Linked DNA regions of Drosophila melanogaster. The protein of the gene in region 2 interacts with the protein of the main gene of each other region in a pairwise test. Each region holds a gene or a part of one and is shown on either strand. Other genes may lie near its edges.

Region 1 (16,210 bases), on a different chromosome or scaffold from region 2:
TGCATGGCCTTGAACACCTAATTAATGATTTTTCCTGCTTCGATTTGAGGGTGGACTTCAGAGACCTTGATTACAATATGGTTTCGCCAAGAAAATGCCTAATTTAATTATATATTTCTATTCTGCGCATCGAATAACAAAACAAACCGCACGCACACACGCACACAAAATCACATGCACTGGCAGTGCACCAAACACACACACAACAGCGCGCATCATGGAAAACCCTTGTGTTCTGCAGCTTTTTCGGGAATTCGGTTAAATTGCATTTAAGTTCATTTACTATAACGCACACTCACCAGTTGTTAAGTGCACTAAAACCACATTTACACCGAAAACTAACAAAAAACAAAACATTTTAATCCAATTCGCGTTAACAGTACAAATAAACTTTAACAGCGTGTGCCCGATAGAGCTGGAAGAAACATCGACGCGGTATCGATATTCCAATGGAGTCAACTATTTAATCGATATTATATTTAAAACAATTAAAAATGAAGACTTAAAACGGATATTTAAATTCCTAAAAAAAAAGTAATGTATATTTTGAAGCAATAAAATAAATTGTTTATCGTATCAATATATAATTTAAAATTGAATTGTTTTAAACTTCATAAATCTTTTAATTTTAATAACCCCATAAGAAACAAAATCTTAACATTTCCAAAAAACTGATAATCAAGTTGTATTTATGAACAATAAGTTTATATTCCCGCAACATTTTAATAACTATTGAGAATAAAGAAGAGTTATCACAATTTGGTTTTATAAATAATTGTATATTTGGTTTTTTTGTTGTATTATTTTTTATACTTTTAAAAAGTAAACTTCTATTTTGATCGAAAGTATTGATTTAAGCACTGATTACACGATATCGTGTGATTGAGGTTGAGTTTTTTTTTCTTTACATATAAATCGAGTGAGTTATTGGGACGAATGAAGATATAACAAAAAGTCGCGTTCGCAAAAGCAATATTGAAGAGTATTGGCTAACTTAGATCGCAATTTAAATACATAGATTCGTGTGTATGGTTACAGCTTTACAGGTCTTTTGTCGTTAAATATTACATCAATATCAATATCATAGATCATTTTTTACGCTCATTTCCATTTTCTCTATCAATAAAATTAACAACAATTCCGATGCATTTGATTGGGCACGTGATAAACATTGATAAACGTGCTCGCCTACTCAGACGCATAACAAATTTAAAATACTGTTTCTTCTAATATAATTAATATACGATAACTGTTTCAGTAGTCAATTAGTAAGGTCAACATTGCACGAACATATACTACGTGGGTACTTCATCGTATATGTCCAATCGAGTATATATGCCTGTAGCTCGTGTAAATAGTTTAGTCGATTCGATTACTAGATGTGTTACAAATTGGTACACTAGTGTGGATTGTTCCTCATTTGCGCGTGGGTGAGTTTAAGTTTAGTTTAAAGTCACTTTAGTTATTGCTGCTGTGCTCTCGTGTCGAACAACATGGATTCACATTCATTCACAAAAAAAACGCAACGTACGAATACGAATACGACGGGTATGCAAACTTAATCTACCGAGAATTGTATATGTCTAAACATTCATAAGGATCTATGGTTAGGTGCATGTTCGATGTCTGCCGATGCTGAGCACCACTCCCTCCTCAGGTTTGTCTTTTTCATAATTATCTATAAACTATATACGTTTGCCGGTGGGGCAAACTAAGGCATGCCAGGCAGTCCACCGCCCACAAGGCGCTGCTGTTGCTGCTGCTGGTGAATGAGGTTCACCCTAGCTCGTTGCTGCTCCAACCGCTGCACCGTAGCCGTCAGATGGGAGTTCTCCACATATAGATCCTTCACCAGGATGTCGGCACTCTGCAATCGCTGTGTCTGATCGGCCAGTAAAACACCCTGGGTCTCGATTCGGCTATGCAAATCGTTGAGCTCCACTTGATGCTGCCGCCAGGATTCTAATGAATAAATATTACATTATCATTCTTGGTCAGTAGGTAGTTTCTTCAACTTACGCTGCATCAGGGACTCCGTGTAATGCTGCTGCTGCTTGATGACATTCTGCAGATGGCGATTTCGCAGCTCCAATTGGTTCAGTCGCTGCTGAAGCGTTGGATGCGTTGTTCGCTAAAGAAGAGTCCACAGATACGATTAGAATATGTTCCCTGATCAACAAAGTCTATGGCTCACCGCATAGGCCTTCTCGAGCACGGGTCGCGCCTCCTGCAACTGCTGCAGTTCCATGACCAGACCGTCCCGCTGCAGACTCAGATCCTTGATTTGCTCCTTGAGGGAGAGCTCGAAGAACTTAAGGCGCTTCAGTTCCTCCTTCAGTGCCGACGGACTGCTGCACTTCTCGTGGCTAAGGCAAGACGTTTTACTGTTGGATTCGAAGCTTTTGCCGGACGCCGTCGACGACGTCTCGCAATCGGCTATCTCTCCCTCCGATGCAGCCGCCTGTTGGGGACTCTGGGACCGCTTGGGCTTGCTGATCGGAGCTGGGCCGGGATTGGCGCCGTAGGCGTTGCTGTTGCCACTGTTCGTGGGCGAAGGACCCGACTGAGAGCTTTCGAAGGGTGTAGTGCTAAAGATGGATGTTTCCGAAGTGGTGAGGTTATTGCTGTTTAAGGGACCATTAAATTGGCATGATTTACAAAATAAAAACGACTTTGAACGAATTGTTAAACATAAAGATGCAAAATGAAAACGTGTAATGATACAAATGTGAAAAATAAGCAAACAAAACCATTTCCAGCAGCCAATTTCATAACCGAAAAAGAGTAATTTTTTTGTAAAATATTAAATGTATATTTATTGAAATCATAAATCAATGAATTTCGATAATGTGATGAATTTCTATATGAATATAAATTATATTTATTAAACAAGCACAAACATACAATTAAAAGGATTAAATTAGCTTATATTAGACATGGTTAGATGTGAGGGACAAAACTGAAACATATATACAGGACATACAGTGCAAATTATGAGGAAGACACAGGGATGCTCACACCAAGGACACACCGAGAGGCTTCTCATACTCACCGGCTGGCTGTCTTGTGCGATGGTGAGCCTCCGAGCAATTCGATGGCACTGGCGGTGGCTTCATCCTTGGAATCGGCAAGCGATTTCGCTGGCTCTTGGATGGTGCTCTGCAGCCAGAGGTAGCTGATGGGTGAGCTGGCTGGACTTTTTCCCGCCTCGGCACTCAGTTGGGCTACCGACTCCGAGGTGAGTTCACAGGCGCCTGTGAGGATCTCAACGCTCTCACCCAATCTCTGTCGCAAATCCTCGATCTCTGATTGCAGTGAACTGATTTCCTGAGCCTTCTCCTCGAGCATTTGAATGGAACTCGAGCGCAGCTGGGCTGCCTCTGCCTCCAATTCCGAGTACTGCTGTTCCAGCATATCGCGCTCATCAATGGGCGAGAGGCGGCCATCCTTGCTGAACTGCTCCTCGTACTCGCGCACCTTTTCCATCAGCTCGGTGAACTTCTTGTCGCTCTCGTGCTGCTCATCTTCGTAGATCTGTCGCTCCTTCTCAAACAGCTGCCGCTCCTCGCTAAGTTTCGTTTGCCAGTAGTCCTCGCAATCCTCATAGGCACGCTGCATTTGCTCTAGACTGGTCTCCAGTTCCTTCGAACGGCTTTCCGGGGTGAGAGATCTGCCTTCCTTTGCAGCCTTGAGTTCCTCCTCTAGCTCAGCAACCCGCTGTCTAAGGCTTGTTAGCTCCTCATCCTGGCTTTGACTTCTTTGCAGCTCGGAGTTTAGAGCCAACCAATCTCCGCTGTTGCTGGCATCGCTCTGCTCTCCTTCGGTGCACTTGCGCTGTTTCCCCAAGCGAGGGCTCTCCTCTGTTAGATGTGTTTTGCTCGGCGAATCCCCACGCCTTTTGGTAGCCGTGGCCGCCGACTCCTGGTCCTCTTGTTTCTCCTGTTTTTCTTGCTTTTTAGCCTTGGTTTTCGAGCGAATTAGTTCCACATTTAAGCTCTCGATTTCGATGGTCAGTTCGTCAGTCTTGTCACGCAGCTGGGCGTTCTCCATTTGAAGAGCAGCCAGCTTCTCCATTAGCTGGAGCATCTCCTCCTCCTTGTCCTCGCTATGCCTTCTCGGTCGCAATGGACTGTGCTCCGGGGTGCCACCAATGCTGCTCGACGTTTGGGCCAGTTCCTGGTTGAGCTTAATGTTCTGTTCGAGAAGCTCTGTGATTTGGATGTGAGCCTTTTGCTGCTCCGACTCAAGCTCCGTGTTCTCAGTGCGCACCAGTTCAAGTTCCGTTCTCAGACGGATCTCCTCCTGCTCAAGCGATTTAAGCTGTGCCTCCAGCTTTCCCGTCATGCTGGTCCAGTGATCGCGGTCATTAGTCATCCGCAGCGTTATTTCACGCACCATGCTGGCGTGTCTTTGCTCCAGCTGCTGCACCTGCTTCTTGGAGTTATCCTCCAGCGACGCATGCCGCTCATCCACTTCCACGGCAAGCAAAGCCACCCTTTGGTTGGCCGCCTTATTATCGGCCCTCAGCTTGAGGTTCTCCTCATGCTGCTGCCTATAGGCAAGTCTGTAGTTGCCCAACTCGGTGGCCTGCAGAGCAGCCAGAGCGCGCAACATATTCGATTGCTCGTGATCCCCATCGATGCCCCGCAGCTCCTCCTCCAATGCCTTAGTTAGCTGCTGCAGGTTCACCTCCTCCTCCTCATCGAATCCCAGGACGTGAAGTAGGTTGCGAGTGTTGGGAATGCTGGCCAGCTCCCAGGCTTCCATAATGCTATGCACTGAGATCGTCTCCAATTGCTGCGGCGTCACGGTGTCTGTAAATCATGGCAATTAACAATTAGCGTGGGACGAATGAGATTGGCTTCGCTGTTGTATATACACATTTATTATACATATAGCCCAAGATACCAGGTGGGTGTGGGATTGGATTGGGATTGGGAGTGGGGAAGGGTGTGTGTGTGTGTCGATGGTGTAAGCAAAAGCGCCGAAAGTTTGTTATTTCTCTATATCAAATGGCTTTTCGAAATGAGAAATTTTTGGCGTGTTATTTTAAGAGGTAGAAACTAATAAATCAAGAAAATAGAACAAATTATAAGTAAATATCCTTTCTAACTGAAATTGATTTATATGAAATCCTTAATTAAATTGATTGTCAATGCATTACAGCATTACTAAGGGTTGAAAATGTAGGATATGTGATTATACGAGTAAATAGAACGAATCAAATGTGCGGCTACATAGGGTGCGATTAGATACCGAATGACTGGGTTGGGGATTCGGTGGGTGTGAGGGTGTTGACAATTGCTTCAGAGCGCACAAACCTTTGCAGCATGACCAACGGCCGCCGTGGTAGCATCTCCAGTGCTCGGACGACGGTGCGGGATTGGTGGCCAGGCGATGGCCTACGGTGTGTACCGACAAACAAGTGTTTTGCTTTTAACATTGCTTCAAACGTAATTTTGGCATTTTGGGCTAACAACAACAGAGGGTGGCAGGGACAAGGGGGATCGGCTAGCCAAAGCTGGTCTGGCCAGAGGAAACTTACCCAGTGATTCCACGCTGCTGCTGTGCTGCGCCTGGCTCTGGATGGAAAGCTGTTTCAACTTGGCCGCTGCCGTCGGTGATGTAGTGGCTCCCGTGGTGTTGCTGTTCATCTTCCGGCGTGCTGGCAGTGAAGCACAACGCTTCAGTTTGCTCCCGCTGGTGTGGACGGACCGCAGACGCCGGCTGCCAGGAAGATCGCTCTGGGACGAGGAACGTTGCACCTGTGTGGTTTGGAAAAATAAGATGCTTATGATGATCATGATGTATATTTAAGATAATTTGTTTGCTTTGGTAGTGCTACTTAGGCATGCTCTACTGTATCAGCAATAATAACGATTAAACAAAATCTGTTTACTATGCAATTTTGCATACATAACCAGAAGTTGTATCGCCACTTCGTACGTGACTTGACAAACGACACTCACCTGAACTCCCAGCTCATCGCATCCGTTGAGGCTTCGCTGATTTTGCTGCTGCTGCAACTGGTCCTCGTCCGTATTGTCCGAGTCCGTGACGGATAACTCGTAGATTCCCTGCTGTGGCCTAGACCGGCGACCGTATTTCTTGGTGCCCACGACGAGTTTGGGTGAAACCTCGCGATCGGAAGACTCCGGCGGACTCTCGATGTATGTGTTGTTTAGCGGCTCATCCGTAATCACCAGTGAACGCTCTGGAAGATTCAATAGATATAAGTTAGCAGAGAACTGGAAGAGTTGTATGGATCTTAGGTGGCTACCAAAACGAGCGGCTAGCTTCTCAATTATCGGATCTGTTAACTGACCGCCGGATCGGCGGTAATACAATCGTGTTCCCATTTTGATTTAGACTAAACTGCCCAGGTGAATGTGTCGCGTATTTATACAGGACATTGTAACCATCTACCTGATAAGGATCATGCAGGATCAGGTAGTCGAGAACAGTTGGGAGTCGTAAAAAAGTGTCAATTGCATCTATGATTTTATGATCGCCAGCTGCCGCCGTGCTAATCCGCGTGCTGATTATGATATTCGTACCCTAAGGTGTCCTAAATTTGCCCAGAAGTTTCCAAATCAGATAAGCGGAGGTTTGAAGTAAATGTGCATAATCCTTGCAAATTAGCACGTAGATGGTAGCACTTCTTTGAGTATTAAGTAATGGCTTTGTTCATCTATAGACTGCTAGAAATGTGTTCATTAGATCAGTGTTTTATTAATAGGGAAACCCACACGGTTCCAAATCCGTGTCAAAATTGAATTACTATCTCTAATAAGTGGCTGGCAAACATTCCGTAATTATCTGATGTTGCTTGATGGGTAATTAAAGCGCAATTACAGATAAAACGTATGTTGTTTTATGCGAACCTGTCGCGTTAGCTTATAGCAAATATTATCTTTATACTATATAAGTTAATCTATAGCGTGATCGATTCTTTGTGCTATCTCACCAATGAAACCCGATGACGTATTACCATCGAACTCGGAGCCCAGGAAGTTGAGTAGCGCCTCCTTGAACTGGCCAAAGGACACGCCCAGCTGATGGCTGCCGCCCAGGCTGGCGATCAGTGCGGATCCCTGATCCCGGAGCTCCAGCAGTGAGCAGAGCTTCAGCAGGGACTTCTCGTCCAGAAGTCCACACTGCGTCTCGCAGCTGCGGAACATTTGGTAGAGCTTCTGCTCGTACGGATCGGCGGATACCTCCATTATCCGTAACCCGGGGAATTCAGTTTGCTGCCGTTCCAATCGATCGGCTGCTCAATTGCGTTTTCACTTCGCTTTTTTTTTCTTGGGGGGAAAATCCACAAACGCAGTCAGGGGTCGAAAACAAGAAAAGTGAAATATCGGGGTCTATGTGCGTGGGTGGCGGGGGAATCACGCGTGTTTTTTGGACAGCAGGCTGTTTGAGGGGTTACTAATACTACTAATCTATGATATGCACTTCGGAACGCAACATAAACACTCGCGGGTTTGCGGTTTTTTTGGGAATAGCGTAATTTCTAGCGAGTTGATAAAAAACAATAATGCAGTAATAGCGAGCACGGTGGCGCGCTCTGGAGGGCATTAAGCAAACTTGCATCGGAGGTGGCACTATCGTGGACCATTGTTCCTATCGTTATACAACTATCGTTTAGGATTTGAATATTTATATTACAAAATAAATAGATAACAAGGGAGAACGTAATGCCATATAATAAATCGCTAACTTTACTTGGAAAGCTTCAGCTCCAACCAGACCCCTTATTAAAGTAGAAAACTTGACATAAATTGAAATCATCCGATTAACATGTTGTTTTCCAATAATAGATTATAATTATACAAAAAGTATATCAAATAGGAAGTGCTTCATAGCACACACACATATATTGTGCGTCATTCAAACTACAATAATTTAAAACAAAGAACCCTATAGTTTTATTAATAAAATTGAACTTTGGCAACAAATAAATAAATAAAAAGTAAAGTTGTACAAAAAATTGCTTTTGTTTAAAAATTCCCAACAACACGTTTCTATCGCACTATCGATAACCTTGTGCATAGCCATCGTCAACAGTGACAGCCAATGGTTCTATCGATTGTTTGGCAGCACTAATAAATTCCATTTGCAAGCTGAAAAGCAAGAAAAAATACAAAATATCTTTGAGCATTGCAAACTGTTGAAAAATCCAACTGAAAATCATGTGTATGTGCCACCAGTGACAGCCGAAGACGCCGAGGGATTAACTGAGTTAGTGGACCCTAACCAGTCCAATCGGCAAGGGGCACTACATTCCGCAATCCGAGACTTTTTGGTGGTGACCCGTAGAAACCACAGTCTCGCATTCATTTGTTTGCATTACGGCGCAGCGGGATCAGAGGATTCCGCGTCCGGCCGAGATGGCCATGCACTCGTACATGCGCCAGGGATCGGGTTCCGGAGGAGGAGCAGGAGCAGTCGCAGCTGGAGCACCGCCGCTGGCCAGCCCGGACGAGATGCACGGCTTCCTGAACGACAAGCAGGCTTGGGAGCACGCCATATCCCTGTACCAGGGTCCTGATCCACTCGATCATTGGTACAACTACATCTGCTGGTACGAGAATCACGCGCAAAGCGATCCGGAGCTAAAGTACCGCGAAACTCTGGAGCGCTGCCTGACGGTGTATGAGCACAATGACTACTATCGCCAGGATGTCCGTTTGGTGCGGCTGTGGCTGAAGTACATAGCCATGCAAACGGATCCACTCCATTTCTACCAGGTGCTTTTTCAGCGAGGAACTGGTCGCCAGGTGGCCGCCTTCTACATTGGATGGGCTGCCTATTACGAGTCTCGCGAGGAGTATAAGGATGCGGAGGCGGTGTTTAACTTGGCCTTCCAGGAGAAGGCGCAGAGCACTTCCGAGCTGCAGCACGCCCACACCAAGTTCGCCTATGCCAGGTCTCTTTTTTACCAGCGGCAACAGCAGCAACAACAGCAACAACAGCAGCACCAGCAACATCCCCCGCAGGATGCACTGCAGCAACTCACGAACTATGCACAGCAGCAGATGCCACAGAGCTATAATCAACACCGTCCCCAGCCATATCAGCAGAATGTCTATCAGCAATATCATCCGCAGGCGCAGGCACATCAAGCCCCACAGCCTCATCAGCCGGCGCCACAACAGCAACTGCCGCCAGAACAACAGGTCCCCTATCAGACACACTACCAGGAGCGGCCGCGCTATGAACCACATCCTGCAACTCAGTCCCCAACAGCAATACCACCATCCCAAGTCCAGCAACAATCGCATTATGCTCCTGTGGCAGAGGTGAGCATTAAATTTAATATCAAAGCTACTTGATAAATACTCCTTTTTTGTTTTAGTCCCATTATGCACCAGCCCAACAGTCACAGTTGCCGCCGCAACAAACTACAGTACCGCAGTTGCACGCACAGCAGCCGCAGCAGCAACAAAACGGCAACGGCAATCCACCTCCTCAACAAAGTCCTCCGGTGACAAATGAAGTGGCTGGCCTACGCTTGCCGCGCAATTTCCACGCCTACGGGCGCAACAACCATGAGACATGGAAGCCGGCTCTAACGCTTGAAGAGCCTGATGATCCCTCGCGCGTGTGCCACTATGCCAAGCAGTTGGTATATCCACCAGGAGCAGGCGTCGAGTACAGTCCCGAAGAGATACTAGCCCGCAAGTTTAAGCAGTTAATGGATCAAAAAGCCAAGCCATCGGAGCCGCCAGAACAAGAACAGCAAACTCTTTATGATTCCTACGAAACTGAGAAATCTTACTATATGACTGCTGTGGATGGAGCTCTTTACGGGCAGAACACCAGCAGTGGTCAGGAGAATACAGGTGAGGAAGATGAGGACAATGACGCCGAGGAGGGAGAAGAGGAGGAGGATGGTGGTGAAGAGAACGAGGAAGATGACTCTGATGAAGAGGAGGAAGACGATGAAGAGGAAGAGGAGCATAGCGGACCGTACACAAATGGCGTGCAGTTCAGTGCGCAAACCACTTTCGAGCAAGAAAATCGATCGATTAAGATCAAGTTCAGGAAGGAGCCCAGCAGCACCTACAGTGCCTATACCATAGAGAATGTTTACCAGCAACAACAGCAGCAGCAGCAGGAGCAGCATCAAATAATCCATCAGCCTCCGCAGGCAGTACATCATCCTTCGCCGGACCCGGCACCTGCTTCTCCGATTCCCATCCAGCGTCAACGCAACGGAAGCCACCACCACTTCCATCCCTACATGCTGGGCCAGACCTCGACGCCGAAGAGCGAGGCGAATGGCTATCGCAGGGCACGCACCAAAGTTAAGCGCAGCAAGTTCCAGCCGGATCTCTGCAGCAACAGCAACTCGGCATCCTCGGTGGCTGATGTGGCCTCGAGTAGTGTGCTCGCCGGAGCACCTGGCACATTTAATGACAATGCAAACTTTTCGTTCTCCAGTGCCACAGCTTTGGATAACTCAAATAGCTCGCTGGCCTTGGCTGTTGATAGACTTAACTTCCGCGACACATCGCAACAGCAGATCCTCCATCCGGTCAATAAGACCTTACAAATTCACAACAACAACAATAACACCAGCAACAACAATAATGGCACTAGCACCATGGCCGATTTCTCCACATTTCAAGAGAACTCGTACTTCGCCACTCAGCACGACACGGAGGCCCAGGAGCGTCGGCTATCGAAGGCCGTTGAAACGATAGCCCGCCACATGGACAAGGAGGCCATCGATCCGTTCAACAGCGAACTGTGCCGCGCTTTTCTCGCCAAGCTAGATTTTCCGGGTAATCACGATGCCCATGCCAGTTACAAGATTGTCCAAACGCCACTGCCAAAAATATCCAACACTCGCACGCTGAACGTCCTGGAAGGCGTTACCTTTAGCATCGACAAGGAGGTGGGTCGCGGCTCATATGGCTCGGTTTATAAAGCCACTGATTCTCGGACCGGCAATGTAGTGGCGCTCAAGTATCAGAAGCCCCCAAACACCTGGGAGATATACATATGTGATCAGGTAAGAAAAATTATATTTACCACTTATATTAAAGTTTTTTTTTGCCAAAAAGATTTGGGTGTTAATACATATTGCGTGTTTTAGGTGCTGAAACGCATCAAGGAGCCAGAGGTGTTGCCTGGCGTTATGGACATTTCCACGGCGATCATCGCCCCAAACGCTAGTCTAATAGCCACCGAGTTCTCACCGTTCGGTTCGCTGCTGGACATCAACAACAAGATCCGCCAGGCAACCACCAAAGTAATGCACGAATCGCTGGTGATGCACTTCTCCGCACAGATCTGCAATATCGTGGACCACCTGCATCGCCAGCACATCATCCATGCGGACATTAAACCGGACAACTTCCTGCTAATGCGTGTGCCCAATGTGGACAGTCCGTTGCCATCGCTACGTTTGATTGACTTCGGCTGTGCTATCGATATGACCCTGTTCCCGGACGGTGAGAAGACCAAGTTCCGGAAGGTGGTGCAAACGGATGGCTTCACCTGCATCGAGATGCAGGAGGGACGCAGCTGGTCCTACGAAACGGATCTCTTCTGCATCGCGGCGACCGTTCATGTGATGCTCTTCGGTGACTATATGCAGCCGCAAAAGAAGGGCTCCAGCTGGGAAATACGACAAAAGCTGCCGCGTTACCTCAAAAAGCATGTGTGGACCAAGTTCTTCGGGGATCTGCTCAACATGCAGGCGGACAAACTGCCAGCGCTGCATGAGATGCGTCTCATCTTCGAGGAGGAGGCGTACCGCATGGACTCCGAGCTGCAGAAGCAGATACGCACCCTATCCAACATCCTGCATCGACGATAACCAATCTATTCCTATTCCTTTCTGTTAAATTGTTTTGCATATAACTCTGTTGACCAAGTCACCCATTTATATTGTTTCAGTTTTTATTTTAAAACAATTTTCCCTCTTCAAAGATGATAAAACCAAACCGGGAAAAACTCCGCGTTCTAATTTTAAACTATTTTTCTGCGAACAAACTCCCTTTTATTTATTGTTTTGATGCCAAAAAAAAAAACGAAAGCAAAAAGTACGCTACAAAATTCAAAAACATTGTAAATATTAGGCACAGACTCGATCTAAAGCAACGTTTACGAAATGAGTTTGTGGAAAAAAGGCCCTGGATTTAAATGTAATTTTTTTATGTACAGCACAATAAAACAATATATTGAAGGCAATGTAAAAAAAAAAAGAATCGTACATAAATATGTTTAAGATTAGTGCTTGCTGTACTATTGAGTAATATATAAAGATCTTTAAATAATAGTGAATAAATTGACGAAATGTTAAAGCAAAAACCATATGAATTGCAGCGCGAAAAAGGAAAGCAGTGGTAACCCAGTTTCATAAATCAAATGCCAAAGTGGCGAACCCATAATGTGTGTGTTGCAGGCAATTGTCAATTTAGTGGGGGCATGCAACAAGTAATAGCAGCAACAGCAGCGCCAGCATCAACAACAATGCTGCGCTTGACCCACTTTTCCTTTTTGCCAGTCAACCAAACGGCGCACAATTTCCACCAAGCGACTGGAAAAAGTTGCAACTTTTCATGCAACACACACACACATCGACGGTTGGAAAAGCTGCAACAGGCACACAAAGTCAAAGTCGACGCCTGCGCTGCGGCTTTTTGTTGCTAGTTGCTTGAAACTCGAAGCTTGCAGCTTGTTGCTGGCTGCTCGTTCGCCAAGTGAAAGTAAAGTGGGACAAATGCAATTATTATTGCATCTAGTAACCGACTTAGAAGTCGTGGCGCGAAACTGCAACTTGCAGCCTATGCAGTATGCAGTATGCAGTTGGAAAGTTGCTCTGCCGGCGTCGCTTTTACACAATATTTTATTTAATCAAATTGCAAAGAGAAAATTGCAGCAGGCAGTCCGCCGGCGATTGGCGAAAAACTTTCTATTTTTTTGTGTGTCGACTGCAACGTCAGCTGCAGCATTAGATACTTCAGCGGATTGTTTTGCATGCGATAAATTAATGAATGTGCCCCAGTTTCGGGGCCACGGGCATTGAGTGACAAACGGAGTGGCGAAGCGAAGCGAATGACAATGCGGCATTTATTAGATCACTGGGGCACACCGATCTCCATCTGGATGCCATACCAATACCCATACCTATTCCCGATTCCGATCACCCGATATGCCAGCCAAAAACACAAAGCAAGATGACAACAAAAGTCAATAGAAATGGGTAGAAAGAAATTCGTTAATAGATCAGTTAAGTGCTGAGCTGCGGACACTTAACTCGTTTCTAATTAAGCTGATGGCCAACAGTATTTGGCTCTCCACCGAAGGAAAGTCTTAATCCCAGAAAAGTGGGGAGACTTTTCGTTAAGTACCCACCAGCAATTAACTTGGCTAAGATCAAGTTACCAAGCTACGCGTTTTCACCATCTGGACAGGTGCCTAAGCGGATTAGCCAGGATTTAAAACCAAGATGATATGATGATTATGATACGATGATCTCATTATGATACGATTTAAAAAAAAATTAGCTAGATAATTAAATAAATTTACGAACTTAAAATCATAGTTTCATATCTTAAATGTAATAGTACTTATTACAAGAATACTTTCATAATAATATCTATATCTCTTTTTGTTGACTTGAAAAAATCTATGTATATTAAAAGATTCATTTAATGCCATATTCTATTATATTTTTTAAATATCCTTCTTTTATTTTCTTTACCTAAAAATTACCCATTTCTATTAGTAAGTAGCTCATATTTTGTAACTTATGAAGCACGTCTTGTTTCTCCCCCACTGAAGATCACTCAATGATGACCGATGGACTCGACCAAAGGAGCGTTAACAACTTGCGTTTGTGGTAAGGACCGATCTGAGTCACCCTTGGGAATTTAGGGTAGAACAACGACTACCAGTCGGTTGGTTGGTTAGTCATTCCTGTGACTAAGTGCAACTCCTCGCTAGCAAGTCGTGCAAAATGGTGGCATGCAAAGGTTACTAAGGGGACCCTACTAGATTCGCCTAAGTGGCAGTTGCAACAGGCGGAATGCATCAGTGGCCACACACAAAGCCAGCAAAATACATACATGCACTCGTACGAGTATGTGTGTGTGCAGAAAAACCAGCCAAGACCCCCATCCCCGGCAGATAGCGATACTGCTCACCCCTCGAATGCCATGCAGTGTTGGCCATTTGATTGTCATGACCAACTTTTCACTGCCGCACCGTGTTGCTGCTGCTGTTGTTGCAGCCGCTAATATGCAACAACATGCAACAACTGTTCGCCAATTGCACGACAAAGCGAAAACTGGGAAAATAGTTAAGTAATTTGCAGTGGAAAGCAGTGTCGGAGAAATTCGATTCGATTTTCTTGCTTTCTGGCTGCAGTGCGGTGCATGTGCATCATGGCACACATAATGTTGATGCCACGTTGCGAGCTGCAGTCGCCGCGATCCACATCCGTTTGCAGTGCTGTTCGCTGTTGCCGCATTAGAAAGTTGCAACTGCAACAACTGTCATGGGCCGCTTGCTGCAGCTTTTCTTTTTCCCACTCGCCGAATTGGGGCTAACGTGTATGTACTGTACAGTGTGCACTATGCAACAGCACCCACCCCCCGCCGCTGCCATCGCTTGTAATGAGTTTTGACCTCATAAAATCTGTTCGCGAATTTTCCCTACTATTTTCTCTTCTCGCCAAATATTTTGCATCTCGCCGAGGGAAACTTGAGTGGGATGGAGAAACTTTTTTTTTTTGGCGGAAAACTTTAATAAGCATGCGGTGCACCGATTGCTGCTGACAAACGTGAAAAAGGAAAATTCTCGAACGAAAAACGATATCTAGCATCCGGTAATTGACCCACTAAAATATGATCAATCGATTGGCCGCTTAATAACTATCTTTATGGGGCAATACAACTGGTTTGATGAGTCATTAATTGCAGCATATCTCAATCAATCACGATTGAATATGTGATTTTTATTAATATTTCCTTATATGTCTTAAGGATTTAAAAGCCGCCAACTGGTAGTGACCTTCAGCAAATCGATAACTAATTTGATAAGTAATACTTTGCAGTTGTGATAACAGCTCATGTGTGGTAACTTCTTATCTTTATGCCGCTTATAACAACCAAAACCTATGCCAATAATCATGACATCACTGAAGTGAGTCATTCTTTTATTGAAACAAATATTTGTTCACTAAAATGAAGTATATCTAAATATTTTGTTTTCCCCTAATTAAATGCATGCAAGAAATGTGGTAGTAGTATTTGATTATTTATTCATTGTTTATGTGTTTTATAAAATGCGTGAATATGTTTCCTTGCCCGTTTTCTGGATAATCACACCAATGAACTTATTTCATCAGCCGTCATTCAGTTGACCCCAAAAAAAGTCCTTTCGTTCGGTTCACTACCCCCTGTGTATATGCAAACGTCCTGAAAAGCCTACTTCAAATTCTATTTTCATCACTCACATCCCTACTTACGTATGTATCTCCTAGTCATTGTAATTGCGGTTATCTGGGGTCTGGTGTCAAGTGGCCATGTGACTTTGACCGAGAACGCGGTGGGCCGATGTCCTGTGACCTCGTCGGGTGCATTCAACTGAGGCCGCCATGTGGCAACGTCCGCCGGCCGAGTCAATAGCCGAAATATCCCGAAAAAGCGAGAAATCCTGCCACAAACTGAGCCTGTGACTGGGCCGCGAGTTCGTCGCCCAGAAATTCGAAAGCAGAGAGAGTGTCAGTCTTTCGTAATGCCCACCGCCTAATGGTGGATTTCGATGAAGTCGAAGGACCAAGGACCGACGTCGACCGCTGTCATTGCACTGCCCCGCCCACCGGCACCTGCTGCCGCCTGTCGCCTGTCGCCGCCCACTTCCGTCGACAGTGAAAACAGAAAACCGAAAGGTTATTATAACAATAAGGAGCAGCCAGTGTCTGGACCCCCACCACATCAAATTCTGCAACGGGGCGAGTCTAATAACCTTTCCCTTTCACCGAACATGTCCACCAGACGACGCCCCAACACATACATACATATATAACTAACTATATATAGATATATACCGAAATGTATGTGTATGCACCTCAAACGACAGTAAAAGTCATCGCCATCGAGGTTCAGACATCTTCTTCCTGCCGCTCCTGTTTCCACCTTATGTAAGTTTGGGCCTGGCTAATGAAATCGCCAGACTCCTGCTGCCA
Region 2 (16,210 bases):
AGCAACCAAAGAAAGGTCGTACCGAACAGCAACCAATTTGTCAATCAGATAAGTCGACTAATGCAGCATCAATACGAGTGGCCATGAGAAAGCAGGAAAGCACACCAACAAATTTGAAGCCGGAAGTGCCTTGTCAGCCTGTGGTGCCGCCACCGCCACCGATCATAAAGGATTCCACAATTCCTTCAGAACGGGGTAAATGGACTGCCGCCAGTGTCGAAGACCAAAGTAAGGATCAAAAGAACCGGGATGATACCATGCTCAAGCAATGGAATAATGTGCAGCCTGTTATAAGTGAGAGTGAAAAAAAGTTGTTGGAGCAGCTTAAAGGAAGGCTGAAGAACAAGGGAGCCCGCGACCAGAACAACCACAAAGCAGTACCAACAGAAGCGAATGATGAAAAGTTTAGGCGGGGTGGAGGACGTCATTCTCGTTCACGTTCTAAGCGGCGCAGCTACTCTCGAAGCATAAGTCGCGGGCGGGATCGAGATCGGCGGGATCGTGAGCGAGATAGAGACCGTGGTCGTAGGCGTCGGTCACGCAGTCGTGGCCGACACTTCTCTCGTTCGCCCATAAGATCTAGTCGAAGAAGTCGATCCCGTCAGGGCCGAAGTCGACGCAGTCGTAGTCGCTCTATTGAACGGGTAGAGCGTCCCGTGGTCAAGCATTCCGAGTTTCGGCCCCGTACTGTGCCGGAACGCAAGCAAACTGATATAAAGCGCGACAAGAAGGATGCAGAAAGCAAGTCAAAGTCATCCAAGCCCAGTAACAATTCCTTGCCTGGAGGCAAAAAACTACCTTTCATCGGTAAGATGCCAGTATTTAAAAAGCAGTCTGTTCCATCTTTCAACTATGATGCTTCTGCTGTCTACACCAACGGCTGTTTGGAGGCACCACCTCCACCGCCACCTCCATTGGGCGGAGCGACAAGTCAGATAGCTGTGCGTCAACAAGCACCGACAGCTGCGCAGATTCAGATGGCAATGATGGAAGATGCTTTTGGCAATGCTCCCCCATTTCATCCAGATGCGGGTATGATGGTAGATTACGATGAGCTAATGCCAGATCCTGTCCAGTTCGCCAATTTAATGACGAGCTGCCCACCACCTCCGCCGCCTGGAGAAGGCTCTGAAGGTGATGCCCATGGCCCTGAGGATGGCGATCAGCATGACAACGAAAACCGAGAGGACGTCTTGCCCCCAGGCATTGATGAAGCTGAATCTGCCCTGGTACCGCATCCGTTAGACGCTGCGGCACAATCCCGAGACGGGGAACTCCCAAAGGACCTGGTCGAAGCGCTTGACATAATATTCCCCAGCGACGTAGCGATTTTGGAGGCATCAAATGGAAACAGTGAAAAGCAGGAAGATGTGACTATCACCACCATTGTTGAAGATGACGCAGTGCTCAGTGTGATTCATCTTCAAGATTTAGCTAAAGAGGGTATTCACCTTGTAACTATCAATGAAGCAGAGGTACCTAAAAAGTCACATATTCAAACATCGGAGAAGATTGAAAAGTTGCAGGATTTAAATGGCAAATCGGACGACGGAGTAAACATAAAACTGATTGACGCAGAGGATATCCCAATGCCGAATTCGCCTCCGGCTGAGCCGTCATTTGACGAGGAGACGAAAAGCAAGGCCTTACAGAAGCAAGCTGATATCTCAGAAATACCAGAGCCGGCTGTATCGCCTTCAGACAGTGAGAAGCTTCGTCGTCAGTCGGAGCTTGACGAGTTGGCTATGCTGGGAATCGACAGGAGTGACATGGCGGCACAATGTATGTAGAACGTGTCTTTCTTTGCTATGTATATTATTCTTTTTTTTTAATTAAATTAGAAACTGTGCTATTTGAGTCTTAAATGAGTTCTACATTATTTTTTCTATATATGTGCATAGATGCTCTGTAAGATTTGAGTTGACTTGGAGAGGGCGAAAGGCAAGTCCCGACGCCGGATACACGGGCGGACGAATCGAATAACACGTCAAGGAGCCCCATAAAAAGGAACAGTTTTAGATTTTAGATTGGCACCTGTGTATGAGTGTTTTTGACGGAATGTTTTAAATAAATGCGCATATATGTATGTAATATATGTAAGAATCCTAAAAACGTTTGATTTATAATTGCTTTAACATACACTGCGCGTCATCAGATTAGAGCCCCCTGCATGTCCCCGTTTCTTCTTATGTTCTGTTTTTCTATTTTGTTTTATTTTGCCATTGCATAAAAATATATCAATTTAATTTTTTTTTTGTTCACTGATATTCACCTCTTTGAGGATAAAAAAAGGTCCTGAAAAAAACCGTTATCTTTTTAGTTCTGCTTTGTTTTCTTTTCGGCGAAAAATTGGACACGTATATGGCATCATCAGATTAGCGCCCCATAATGAAGTTTGGAATATCTTCCATAATTTAAAAGGTAGGACAACAAAATTTTGTATGCTGTTAAATTGAATAGTTTGCTTTAATTTTGCGAAAAAATGGGACGAGGCACGCGAAATCATAGCTTTCTATGAATGCGGGCTTTCTTTTTATAAAATTGCAAACGGCAGACATCGCAAAACTATAGTCAATTTTATTAAAAACAAGTGAACTTATGGAAAAAACTATAAAGGTGGCAATAACATTCCTTATCGAATACCTTGCAATTCCCACGACTCCTCCGACAAAATTCGGGGTAAAAGTGGCGAAAACCCGAGCAAATCTTTGATTCAAAGAGTGATTAAGAAAACTAAACATTTGAAACACAGAAAACTGAAAAAAAACATCTCTTTATAAGTTGCGAAAAAAAGCACGACTGAGTTTTGCTTGAGCTTATATGATCCGGTCTAAGGAGTGGCATTATGTTGTATTTTCGGACGAGAAGAAATTTATCTGGAGAAAGCAGACGGCTATAGTAATTACAACCATGATTTGCGTATAGAGGAGCATATTTTGGTTCGCTTTCACAGACGGGTTGGAGGTGTCATGGTATGGAGCGCAGCATCTTATCATGGCCTCTGTGAATTCCAGTTTTTAACAGCAAAAATTATATTATTATATATAATTGTGTATTAAAAAACTGCATTTCCCTATTTTAAAAACATTTTTGGAAACATGGATTCAAAGCGAAATGTAAAAGTTCTGGGGCATGGTTGGATGGGAAGGTATACGAGGGTGGTAAACAATATGCCACTCAAGAGGAATCGATCACCGAAATAAAACTCGGTTGGTCTACGATTGCTTTGGATTACCTACAAAAAAATATGATTCACTTCCCAGACGAATGTGTGAAGTCCTTGAAAACAAAAAATCCTTTAAAAATATTCTAATTTAAATATTTCAGTGCTTAACATCTAATTTTTATTTACTTGAATAAAAATCTATAAACAACAAACTGTAACCCAAATAAACTTTTCATTTATAGAACTTTTCAACTCTTAAGGGAAAAAAATTTTCAAAGCTCTCGCTTACTAAATATCTCACATCAAAAAGTTTTGCTTAAGAGGCGCTGACCTGGTGACGCGCAGTGTATTAAAAAACTATAAAAACGCATTCCGTTCATGTTAATGTTTATGTTTATGTCTATTTATATGAATATATTACATTTTTACATTTTTTAATTAAATGGCACTTAACAAATATGGTTAACAATTTTCATTATTCAACCTACTTAATTATTATTTAAATTCTAGGCTTTTTGCGTCTATATAGATTTTGATTTTTGTTCATTTCGATAGGTACAGGTTTTCTTAGTTAATCATCCACAAAATACAAACACTGTTGTGCAATGCATCTCAATTAACTCAAAATGAATTAAATAATTTATGGACCATATTCATTTAAAAATTTAGTGACATTTATTTTTAGTAGACAAAAAACAATGAGTTTCAAAATTTTAAATTACAGTTGACACTTGGTAAAAGCATTCTAGTTAATACATTTGAGCTTACGCACAGGTTATTGGGTTATAATAAATTTTGAAACATAAGATGAAGTGTCGTTGATGTGATAATTGTCGTGTATCCAAATGCTATAAGTGAGTGACACGCATTTTGTGTTGGCGCAACCCTTTTGCTTTTGAGGCGGCTTATAGCTAAAACTATAAGTCCGTAATCGGAGCGTCCGCCACGCTGAATTTCGATGATAGCGTTATGTCCGCTGCAGTGCTTGATACGGTCGGGTTCCTCTTTGTCTTACCTCTCACCTGGTCACTTAGGTCTTCAACCAATTTCTCAAGGCTATAATGTTGCCCAGTATAAATAACCATTGAAAGATAAAAAGGAAGTGTACAATTTGTAAGTTTTAGGATTAGTTACCAAGCTCAGATAGTGATTAAAATGATTAGTAGAATGTGACTAAACGTATATTTAAAACGTCCATGCAAGTGAAAGTTAACGGTGATGGGTTAGTTTAAAAATGTAGAACAGAGCATATACTACACCCACGCAATTATACGTTGATTTGTCTCCTTACGTACGGAGGCCGCCTCGCTGCGCTCCCGCTTTAGATGAGCGTGGTCCTTCTTTCGTGGTAGCAATGGCGGTGGAATTCCCGGATTGATCTGGTCAGAAGCCAGCGCAAAAGAGGGAGGGCTTCTAACTGCTTGCTTTTCTGATTTAGGTATCTGTGAGTGAGGCGTTAAGTTGGAGGGAGATTGATGACCGATGTTCAAACACGATAAACTGTTGTTGCCAGTCAGGGATAATTCTTCTCCGTCCAGTCCTACTTGCTCTACTAACTGCTCCTCTTCTATTTCGTCGTCCTCTTCCAAAGAGTGTGTCGTTTGGATAGGCGTTTGATGCATTGTTCCATAATGAAGGTTTAAAGATTTTGCCCGTCGTATTCCGAGGGCACCGGAACCCACAACTCCGCCGCCACCCCCATTCGGAAATGGCTTTCGGAATCCATGGGATCGGTCATTTTCGTAAATAATGTCGTTACTGATTGGCCGCTGGTTATAACAACCGGCCAGAGCTTGACGAAGGCACTTGTTTTCGGATTCCAGATGTGAGAGGCGTTTGTTAGTCTCCTTTTTCTCCAGTCGCAACTGCATTACTTGGGTCTACAACCGAAATCGAATTTTTAGCTTTTAGCTTTTTATGCACATTTATTTTAGCACTCACCTTTAGATCGTCTATATCTCTCAGAATTCGGACATTTCCCTCGTTTAAGGAACACTGACGTTCTTCAACCATTAATTTTACTCTGAGAACAAAATGTAATCAACACTCTAAATATACTTTTTAATTTTCGACTTCTTACCGACTTAGCAGTGCATCTTCGCGTATGCGCGCTGCCTCCTTCACTTCCCGCACGACATCCGTCATCATTCCTGGAGTGTAGGCGCCTGAAAAATGGGAAGCGAATATAACTTATTACTCACTCCTTTGCATGGCATAGTTGGGGGTAGCGTTTATGTTATACCTGAGTGAAATGTGGGCGCTGGGCTGTGTGTCCCTCCCAATCCACTGCCAAGAATAAGAGGTTGACTTTGTGTGCTTAGCCCGCTTAAGCTATCTCTACGGTGCCGCATGCCCCCAAAGCCTACACCTGCCCAGTGCTGGCTATTAGGGGAGTGCTTTAAAGCTTCGATATCAACTATGATTGTGTTTGCAAGTGCAAGGGAGTACATAGAAAGAGGAAATGGGTGGCAACACATTCTAATTAGCATACGAGTACAAGTAAAATAAATCAGAGATTTGTGTAATTTTGTCGTAATTTGGGAAGCATCGTGACATCTAAACTGGACACAATCCTACAAACCACACACCTTTTGTATTATGCAAATTCCGGCAGATCTTGGAATTGGTGTCGTGCAATATGTTTATTTGTTCCATTAGAGCCGCGAAAAATTTGTTTTGATGTGCCAGATCACAGCCACTGCCATTGTTGTTCACATTTCGACACTCTGGTGTATTCTGGCCACTCAGCTTAGAGTCATTATCGGAGGGGTTCAGTAGGCACGGATCGCTGAACCGAAATCTGTTATCACACGGTAAGTACGGCTCTTTAATAATTCATTACGAATTTATTGTTTTTGCTTACCCCTTGGTAAAGTTGGGATTGCTTTCGCTGCCATCCAGCACATCCGTCGAATTCGGTTCCTGATCGCACCCAAGCCCTTCCGGCCCTCCCATCATGTTGTTCAGGGGAGGCAAGCTTGCAAACTCCTGGCCACCATCACCATAGCTGTTAAGGCTCTGGGGTGGGAAGAGCATCGGATATCGATGGCTAAGAGAGTTCGAATTCTGTAAAAATAAAATAAAGTTGGGTGTGCGTTGTACAAAATATCTTGCAATAGCAACTACTCACGCGCTGTATCCCCAGGCTAAACGGTGTGCCTGGACCCACTCCGTAAGGCTGGGTTCGCTTCGAAAATTCCTGTTGCCTCTGCTGCTGTAGTTGCTGTTTAAGCTGCGGCAGCTGCTGCTGTTGAGTCAAAAACATTTGCTTATGAGCTGGTGCTGTGGGCGGTATGAAGTCCAAAAACTCAGATGAAGAAGACAATTGGGCGTTGGTGGCATCACGTAAACAGCTCTCCAACCAGGCATCAAGGTGATCGTTGGAATAGTTAATATCGGTTCTCTTGACCTCACCGATGTTCGTTTGGTTAAGAGAGGTCGCCGCTGCTTCAGTTTTTTGGGCCAATGGGGAAGGTGGTACGTTACGCGACCTTAGTTTCTTGCGCTTGGTGGCATCCGTAGCTGAAGGAGAATTTAATTTGAGGTCATCTTGACAATTTCAATAGTGCAGGTCCTAGTGTGGACAGATTACGTAGCTAAAGGCTTCACGGCTTTCACTTCCAGCATTGACAAAGTGAAAACTATTACACGAATTCAACAATTCCGGACGTAACGCTCAACTCGGCGGCTAAACTAGAGTTGTCTAAGTTACTTTAGCCCAGAAAAACGTCTGGGGCAATTTGAAGCAATTTTAAGACTATTTTGGTTCGTTTTTCAATTGTTAAAACCAAACGGTTTTCTTTAAGTCAAGCAAATACTTGGTTTTTATAGATTGAGCAAACTCGATGCCCCTTTCGATAAACGGCCAGTAAGGAGAGCAAGGAAATTACTCAGAAATGCTTCTAAATGTTGAGGGATTGTCACCGAACCTTGAAAATATACATATTCTGGATTAGGATCACTAGCCGAGTCGATCTATCAATGTCCGTATGTCCGTCGAGGTCTCGGATACTATAAATTTCATAATAAGAAGCAAGCTTGTTTTGCAACTAACCAAAGCTGACACTCCCACCCCTAATTTGTTGTCATTTGACTGTATATATTGTTAATTTCTATTGATTAAAACTGCCACGCCCACACTATTGAACATTTTCAACTTTTTAATCAGATGTATGTATACTCATATACTTACTTAATATACATATGTACTTTATACTGTAATATTAATTTTAAACAAACAGTATATATTTTGCCCACCTTATATAATTCGGGAGTTAGGTAAATAGTTTCCGTTATTTCAATGATATATCTCGGACAAAGGCATCGTAACAAATAAAATTAAGTCGATTACTGACCGTGAAATCAGTCAGTTTGAATAGATTAAATCTTTTCGTAATTATAGTGGCTAAAAATAAAAGGAACCTTAAGATCAAAAAATGCAATATAACATGTTTATTATATCAAAATTAGTACAACACAGAAGAAACTTAGAGGTTTCTTAACTTTGCAGGGAATTATAAAAGGCGTAATGTACAAAATTAACCTAATTGATTTATTATTGTGTTTTGTATTTATTTAACATTTCACTCACTGATTTGGAATTTAATGTGAATTTTGAGTTTATAATACCAAGTTCTTTAAAATAGACTTTATAAACAACCTAGATTAACGGATATTCAATATTTCGGACGATGATCTCGCTCACCTCTCTGTGTACTGTTCAGACCCGCTCCAGTAGTGACCTTTTTCTGGGCACCGATCCCGCCGTTATTTCCTGGCGTTAAGCAAAAGCTGTTGCCAGCAATCAGCGACGTCACTTCTGCGGGGAAATCCAACCCACCGCCGTTTGTGCTTATCTCCCTCTGGCTGGAAGTTGTCGTTTCCTCCCGCAAAACGCTCATGTTGCTTCTGAAATAGAAAAAATACGGATAGTTAAGTATTGTTAAGCGAGGTTTTTCATTCGTGCGATTCCGCAGTGGACCATAAAAACTGGAAGCACACAGAAATTAACCCACGAAAGACTCGATGTTTGTACCTAGTGCACTTGGGGGAGACAATAAACAGAAGTGAAACAGCAAGAAAAATCCTCAAGTTACGTATGCAATCCCTGGAAACAGCCGTACGATTTCTCCAAACACTTGCACGACCACCGTCACAAACTGTGCTGTGGTTGCAGAATATACAATGTAAAAACATTTAAATGTATGCAGGCACAGACCAGTGGAATGGCACTTAATTGACGAACAATAAACATTTATTCACTTATTGATCTACAAATGAATTTAGACGAATTCACTAACAGATAATAGAATTTTCCAGCGGTAGCCCTAAATCAGCGTTTTGTGTCTATAAAATTGTCAATGAGGTTTAACAGTTTACAATACGATTGATAGTTCAACTAAAAAACCTATTTACCAGTTTTAAGCGTTGTTTCTATTAGTATGTAACATCTAGTAATACGTTCGGGATGAAAATAGGCGGTAGCTTGGATTCAAGATAATTGTATCTACTCCCACTTTAACTGACTAAGAACGACATTGGCAGTAAACTCTGGCCACCAAGATGAACGTCAGTCAAGTATAAAGAGAAAATAAACATTCGCCGCTTTTGGGTCAAGTTTTTTTTTGTTGGTGGGTGGTTGCCAGCAAATATACATACTGCAAGTGAAGACATACCAATAAGCATAAGGTATTTGGCAGCCAATTGAAGTGGCTGGTGCGTAATCTATGCAGTCGAGTTAACCGAAAATTAAGCCGCCAAACCAAACCGGTTTCACCGCTGTGTCTAATGACCTTTCCATTTAACAAATTTTAATGACACCAATAAAGAAAGGCTGCGTTGTCAATGGAGATGGTGACATGGCCCACAGCGACTCCTTCCCGCGATCAATGACTAAATGCACACGGCGACAAAGAGCTGGAAGAGCGAGTCGCTTGGTTTGTTGACCCAATCGAAGAGCACTATACATACATATGTACTTCGATTGCTTGAGCTATATTGTAGCAAATATTTAAACCCTGGCAAAAAATGTGAATTAGATATTGACTTGGCTGGCGATATTGATCAGGAATAGATATACTTGATATGGTCGCAAATATCTCCACCACTGCGTTAAAACCTTCTAACTGAAATTAATATACATTCTGCAAGGGTATGAAGAAATTAGGATTGACAGAAATGGAGTTGACTTGAAAGTTGAATACTAGCTTAAAAGCTCAAAAGACCGGGAAACGACATTGTAAGTTTTTGTAGAAATTCCAAGCATCTACAGCTGGGATTCCCACGCCATTGCTCACTGGTCCACTGCAAAAACTTGCTTACAATAGAATATTTTCTAGAAGCTCTGCGAGGATATTTTATATATTTGGAAGTACACATATATACCTAACGAAAAATGCCTTGGTTGTTAGATTCAAGGTTAGACAAACTTTTATTTTCATACAAAAGCGTTATATTATATGTATTTAGACTGCACTTTGCCAGATTCCAGTTCGGCTTCGTGCTGCTTTGTGTCGAAAAGTTTTGACACGCGCTCAACTCTGGTCTGGGCTCTTGGTACGGGAAATCGAGTTTTCAAATCCCTGTTCCACCCCCATCCCACCCTCTCGATTTTCATTGTGTGCGAGTGACTGCTGCGAAATGAAAAGCGAAACGACATAAGATGACGTCGTAGACTGGCTTTCTTCCTCCTGCTAGCTCCACCAGCAATAAAGAAACGAAGTAATCGACGCCAAGGAGGTGGTATCACGGTACCACCGCGGTATTCCGCTTTGTGGGGGGCACTGAGCACTATATTTAGCTGTTTAGCCATAATCATATTATCAGAAGCGTCTCAGCGGAATTTGGCACACACGGCACTCACACTTGCCCAGTGGCATTGGCCATCCAAAATTTACTTGCGTCACAATTGCGGATTAAATGTATTGGACTTTCAAGCACGGCGTGGGCGCGGTCACGGTTTTGCATACGGTGTTCTGACAGGCGGAAACATTCAGTTTGAGCAGCGACAAAAAATTAAGCGCACAACGGAACTGAGCCAATTCATTAGGCATTTATTTTAGAGGTGGGCAATCTGCGATGTGCCGTCAAAGCGATGACTTTCGCTGGAACAGCGATTGTTGCGATTATCGATACCTGCTGCTCGGAGTGTTATCTGCTATCGAATAACAGCGCATTTCATGTATGTAAGCATGAGTAGCTCTAAAAATTTTGACCTAAATTATAAGGCTCTTTTTTAAACAACCGGACAATTACCTGAATGGAGCATACAATGTGCATTAATTCTGATGCACTAATTCCGCTTTTCTTAATTATTTGGTTCAAATTTTTGAACATCAATAACAGGCAAACGGTCTTGGTCTTAACATTTTATGAAACCGTGGCTACGACTAACGTTTAAACCTTCGAATGCATACGACACGGAGAGAATTTTTATTCGAGACATTCTAAACAATTACAATTCAAGAAATCACAGCACAGCACAACCAATAAAAAAGAATCCCGTTTCTAAGTTTTCAGCTTAAATCATCCTCCCAAACACAAAAAAATAAGCAACAGTTGTTACTGCGATGCAACTGTCGAAACGGAGCTTTTCCGAGCCCTGTGTGTACACACACTGGGGGTGGAGGGATTAAGCTCCAAAGTGCTTGCTTTGAAGCAGTTTTTCCATCGAGTTTAAGGCAGCTCATCCTAATTCAGTTGAATTAAATCCTGAGCCGTTTGATTTTTATTTCTGAATCTCTCGTTGCATGATTCGCAGTTTTGGGATCGTGCCTTCAAGAAATCGAAAGTGATTAATAGGATAGAACAGTATAGTTGTTCCTTCTATAATTTGTTTTACGATTTTGCAACCAAATCTCAGATGAACGGTTCCGAAATACGGAAGGGCCAAAAAAACGGGTAATTCGGAGTACACCAGCTTCCAAACGACTTTTTTGCTTTGATCCCTAGTCGTTGTCTTGCGAAAAATCGATTCCAGTTATCCTGCGACGCTGTGCTGTCAAATTCCTGAGCTTTTGCTTTCACGCTGCAGTGAGAATAATTTTTAGTGACTTGACTTGTGGTCCGGGTGCAATGAGTTGCGAGTAGTAGACTCGTGTTCGCCAGGATCCTCGCATGAGCCAAGATGATTGTTACCTCCGCTTCTGGACTGGATAGCACTCCGACGCTCGGTACGTAAAAATGTATATGCACCCCACAAACCACACCATTCTGACCTGAGCCGTGACTGTTAAATCTTTCAGGCACCATCGAGGTGACCACTTTGCTGGGCGCCTTTTTCGGCGTCCTCGTTCTACTGCTCCTGTTGTTTCTTTTCATCAGTCGCAAGTGCTGTTTTCACTACCGCCATGCCATCAACTGCTGCGACGAGCGCCACCTTGCAGTCAAGTGTGTGCAGAAGATCAGTGAGTACCGTGTTTCGTGGGGATTGGGGCTGACTGGCTAACTTTTAAGTATCCCGCAGCCCGCAAAAGGCGTTACGAGAACACCAGCTCCGACTCGGAGGAAGACATCTTGAGGCGCCTGCGGTGGCATCAACAGCACCAACTGGGCGAGAAGCCTGGCGGATACGGGCTGGGAATCAGCCAGGCTAATCCGCTGACGGCGCAGAGCTTCAACTACCACCAAGCAGGCGCAAGTGCCGACCTGCAGCGTGTGACGGTGTCGCGTGACCCCTTAGCCATCGCCGAGCGTGGCAAGGTTGGAATCCCGTCATCGCACAGTGAGTGCAGCTCGAACGATTCCATGGAGGTCTCCGTGGACAGTCACACAGGCGTCCTGACGGGTCTGAGCAAAGGTAAGCAAGGCGGGGTCAGGGCCAGCTAATTGACAGCCGTTGCAATGAGTCACGACCTTTTGACAGCCACAACCACAGTTCCCCACCCGGCGACAGCCTTCCGCAATCCGTGTGGAGAACACCGGGCCAAGACCCAGGCACTGAGGTACCAGCACCGGGTCAACGTGGCTGCTCCGCCAAAGCTGGACAAGGAACGGGACAACGTGCTGGTGGTGCCCATGGTCAATGCCTACAGCATTAACAACAACAACAACTCGATAACAACCAGCAATAACCATCCCAGCAGCAACAACAACGATGACGTAAGTTTTACAACATAAGAGGTACTTTAAATACCTATTCCTTTAAAAGAAACTATGCCTAGAAAGGCATTCAACTTTCGGTCGGACTCGTAAAGTTTACCCAACAAGCATAGTCGAGTCTAACCGACTCTTATGGTCCATATAGTCTGTTAACAATCTTTTTTTGCTTGACAAGTTAAAATTCATTAATGCGTTGTATAAATTCATTAATGCGTTGCATGTGTAAAATAAAAGTTTATTATCTTAACTTTGAAAAATTATGTGCACCGCATAAATTAAAAATTCTTTCTAAGAAATATAATTAATCTGTCAAAATCCGATACTTTGCTAAAAAATAAATTAAAGTGTTTAAGTTACTTTACTTGCGAGTACCAATTGATATTCCAAAAACTATTTATCCCTAGGCTCTTATTATAAAATCTTTTTGATGGGTAATGCGTTCTTGATAGTCGAGGCACTCAACGATAGCATTTCATATTTTCTTGTACCATGCTTTAGGGCTTTTCATTGAAACTTTTTTTAACATACAAAACTTTTCAACTTCCAGGAACCCCTATTTGACACCAGCGATTTGCGCTCGATCAAGTCGGATGACCTACTGGTTGGTGTGGACCAGAAGGAGCCGGCCGTGCAGAGGGGTCCCATCGAGCTGGAGCTGTCGCTGCTGTACGACGCCCCAATGCGGAAAATGACGGTGCACGTGATGCAGGCAAAAAATCTTCCGCCCCTGGGTAGTGGGCAGACCACCCACACGCAGGTCCGGATGCTGATGCTGCCAAGCAAAAAGCAGAAGCTCAAAACCAAGATCCGTAGCGGCGAAAATCCACAGTATATGGAGAGCTTTCTTCTCCATCGCGTCAACCCAGAAGATGTGAACAACATGGGGCTGCGTGTGCGGCTTTACGGCTGCGAGCGGCTGCGCAAGGAACGCCTGATTGGGGAGGCGTATGTGAGCTTCGCCACTGTTGACCTTGAACTGGAAACAAACCTATGGCTGCCGCTGGAGCCACGAAACACCTCGTCGGGCCTGGGTTCTACTAGCGATCTGTTAAGCCTGGCTCGGTCAGAAAGCGCGGGCTCCACCTCGTCCATGCAGCACGGGGGCGTCTCCGAGTTGCTGCTGGGTTTGAGCTACAACGGGGTCACTGGGCGTCTGAGCGTCGAGATCATCAAGGGAAGCCAGTTCCGCAGCTTGTCGCTGAACAAGGCGCCCGACACGTACGTTAAAATGGTTATGGTCAGCAGCATCGGACAAGAGATCTCCCGGGCCAAAACGTCAATCCGCAGGGGTCAGCCTAACCCGCTTTTTAAGGAGACATTCGCCTTTCAGGTGGCCCTGTTCCAGCTCAACGATGTTACTCTGATGATCTCTGTGTACGCCAAGCGGCACATGAAGAAAAACGAGATGGTCGGCTGGTTCAGCCTGGGTCTGAACTCGTCCGGATCAGAGGAAGTGGCCCATTGGGCAGACGTGTGCGAGATGCCCAAGGGAGAGATGCTGGCGCGTTGGCATGTGCTGGTGGACTCCTGATTCGAGCAGCTGGGCCAGTCATCCGGACGCAGCGGAAAGGCCCTCCGAAAGCTGAGTCTCGCTGCGTTCAAGGACCGGTCCCGCGAGAAGAGCTCAAAGGAGTCGCGTCTGGAGGAGAACGGAGCTCAATTCCATGCAGCGGTTGCACTTGATATTGAGCCAGGCCTGGAGCTGGACTTTGTCTAAAGCAGAGGTCTGTGTTTGTGATTTGTTTTTACAAGGTCGATGCCAAATGACGACTGCTGTCGTCAAGTGCTTGGCTCAGGATGAGACCGACCAAGAGGTAGGGTCATCCGAACAATCTAGCCTAGACTGGGCCATAAAATATTTGTAATTTGGAATCAATTTGGCACACATTTTGTTTATAAAATGTAGGAAATATGAAATATGAAAGCGAACAAGAATAACCAGAATACTCAAATTTTATACGCAAGTACATACACGAAAAGTACATACCAGTACTTATATGTATAACTACTCGAAATTTGAATTTTATGATTGTTTGTGATAAAGAATACTATATGAAATATCAGATGTCCGAATAGAGCGTATTTAAGATTTTGAGTGTACATTTGTACATCTGTGCAAGCTACGGATGAGTGACGAATTTTTGTAATTTACCTTTCTGCATCTTATATTTAAATATTAAGCCCGGCATAAGATGCCCAAAGTCTGTTGAGACTAGCACTTTTTTATTACCCAAATATGAAAACCGAAAACACATAGGAACAATTGTAGCCAATGCATACGTACATACAATACATCAAACCTGCAACTTACATACCTTAACAAACCTACGTACATAGGTAACTCTTGGTTTTTTGATCAAGAGCCATGCGCATGTTCCAGTTTTGATATTCAAAGAAATACAAAAGTATCGGTACCTTAGAATTCGAACGCACAAATACATATTCTACATTCGAAGATAAGTTGGAAAAAATGTTGGTAAAAATACTAGGACATCTGTGAATGCAAGCATGCCGATTCGCGTGCCAGGCGAGAAGATGGATTTTATTAGAGCTTTATTTCGATTTAGGGATCGGACTAAAGAGCACATATGTATTTAGCTGCTCCGCTAAAGTATCTGACTATCGTTGACGGTCGTTGTGGCTGGATTTTGCAATGGTCAATGAAATGAAAGTACTTTGGTTTTGCATTAGAGCGCAAGAATGATATAAGTTAAACTTATAAAAAGAGAAACCTTAAAGCTTTAATAAATATTTAAAGAAATTGTTTTTTAAACTCAAATTAAATCGAAACCTAAAAAAGCAAAACTATTAAGGTGTTGCCATGCGCATCCAGCGTAATATTAATTTGTATGTTGAATCATATTCAGAGTATTTATATCTTTTAAAAATCTGTATGTTTTAAGTGTCGAATATTTTATAACCGCAATTCGAATGAATTGGTGCTCCTTATTACTGCAAAGGCCATATATAAGCTAAGTCTATAACTTCATTTGGGAAGGACAGCGAGGATAAATTTAACTAACTAATCGAAATCGTTAATGTCGGTATTACATATTTCTAAATTCAACAGTGCAACGGCTGTTAGCCTTGACACAAAGTTCATTTTTGTCAAGTGTTTCAGACCAAAGACACTAGAATAACTCTAGTGTCTAATAATTCTAGTGTCTTTGTTCAGACTCTGCGTCCCTCCATAAATTGCAAAAAAAAAAAAAAAAACAAATTCATTTTCTTTTTCTGACAGAGATAACATAATAAAACTTTTAAATTTAAACAATTAAATTGCCATTGTTAATTATCAACTAAATAATTTTAATATAACTTAATTGCCACTTAAAATAAAAGTATATTATATAAAAATCCATTTCTTACCTACTTATTTCGTATTCTAACTAATCCTGAGCTGGCACGTTCATTTTCTGCGTTTTTTCCTTGTCTTTCGCCCGATCCCTGAGTAATTATCCTCGTCGTCACTATTCACCACTGGTTCCGAATTTTCATTAGATTGCGAATTGGATTTGCCAAGTTGCTGGGCGTCCCATTCCTTGCGTAGCTCGCTAAGCATGCCTGGGGTAAGAAGACCCTGTGCAAGTAACCTTTCGGTGAGACGGCCACGCGACAAGCTGGGTAGACGAGGCTCCTTCACGTGCGTTATTCGGCGGATTGCATAGTTTGATGTTTCTCCGTCCTGACTCGCCTCGGTATTTTTAAGCAAGCGAGTTATTTGAAAAACGCCCTGCTGTATAATTTCGTCCAGTTCCTTCTGGGCATCTCGCACGTAGGCCGCTTCAGGGAAGAGATCCATGAACCGATAGCTGCAAAACAAGTTTGATTAGATTTTTTCTGAAGCGCACTTGTGCGAGACTTGCCTTAGCCAAAGATACAGATCCATCACGTCAAAGACGGCCTCAAGATGGACCAGGTCCAATATCGTCTTGGGTAGCTTGA

Evidence for each region.
Region 1: the proteins of CG9795 (region 2) and Nin interact in a two-hybrid assay, tested with the Drosophila melanogaster proteins (2 studies listed by BioGRID).

What each region holds. Positions count from the first base shown.
Region 1 is NT_033779.5:5,270,967-5,287,176, forward strand, and holds Nin (ninein), read right to left. Parts: upstream 7,583-16,210; 5' UTR 7,224-7,582; coding exon 6,968-7,223; intron 6,376-6,967; exon of another isoform or gene 6,360-6,375; coding exon of another isoform or gene 6,281-6,359; intron 6,215-6,280; coding exon 5,970-6,214; intron 5,766-5,969; coding exon 5,546-5,765; intron 5,403-5,545; coding exon 5,322-5,402; intron 4,815-5,321; coding exon 3,053-4,814; coding exon of another isoform or gene 3,049-3,052; exon of another isoform or gene 2,861-3,048; intron 2,625-2,860; coding exon 2,195-2,624; intron 2,132-2,194; coding exon 2,020-2,131; intron 1,963-2,019; coding exon 1,712-1,962; 3' UTR 762-1,711; downstream 1-761. Other genes in the region: Bub1 kinase, read left to right, coding at 8,394-9,305, 9,362-11,023, 11,108-11,833. UniProt on the Drosophila melanogaster protein: Required for the positioning and anchorage of the microtubule minus-ends in various cells.
Region 2 is NT_033777.3:4,313,709-4,329,918, reverse strand, and holds CG9795 (uncharacterized protein), read right to left. Parts: upstream 10,237-16,210; 5' UTR 10,133-10,236; coding exon 10,029-10,132; intron 8,075-10,028; coding exon 7,872-8,074; intron 7,572-7,871; exon of another isoform or gene 7,424-7,571; intron 6,689-7,423; coding exon 6,297-6,688; intron 6,233-6,296; coding exon 6,030-6,232; intron 5,967-6,029; coding exon 5,755-5,966; intron 5,583-5,754; coding exon 5,409-5,582; intron 5,332-5,408; coding exon 5,247-5,331; intron 5,190-5,246; coding exon 5,108-5,189; intron 5,047-5,107; coding exon 4,430-5,046; coding exon of another isoform or gene 4,420-4,429; exon of another isoform or gene 4,223-4,419; coding exon 4,084-4,222; 3' UTR 3,826-4,083; downstream 1-3,825. Other genes in the region: CG9776 (uncharacterized protein), read left to right, coding at 1-1,782, 1,902-1,912; Syt14 (synaptotagmin 14), read left to right, coding at 11,292-11,337, 11,410-11,571, 11,631-11,963, 12,030-12,265, 12,813-13,796; Suv3 helicase, read right to left, coding at 15,675-16,077, 16,132-16,210.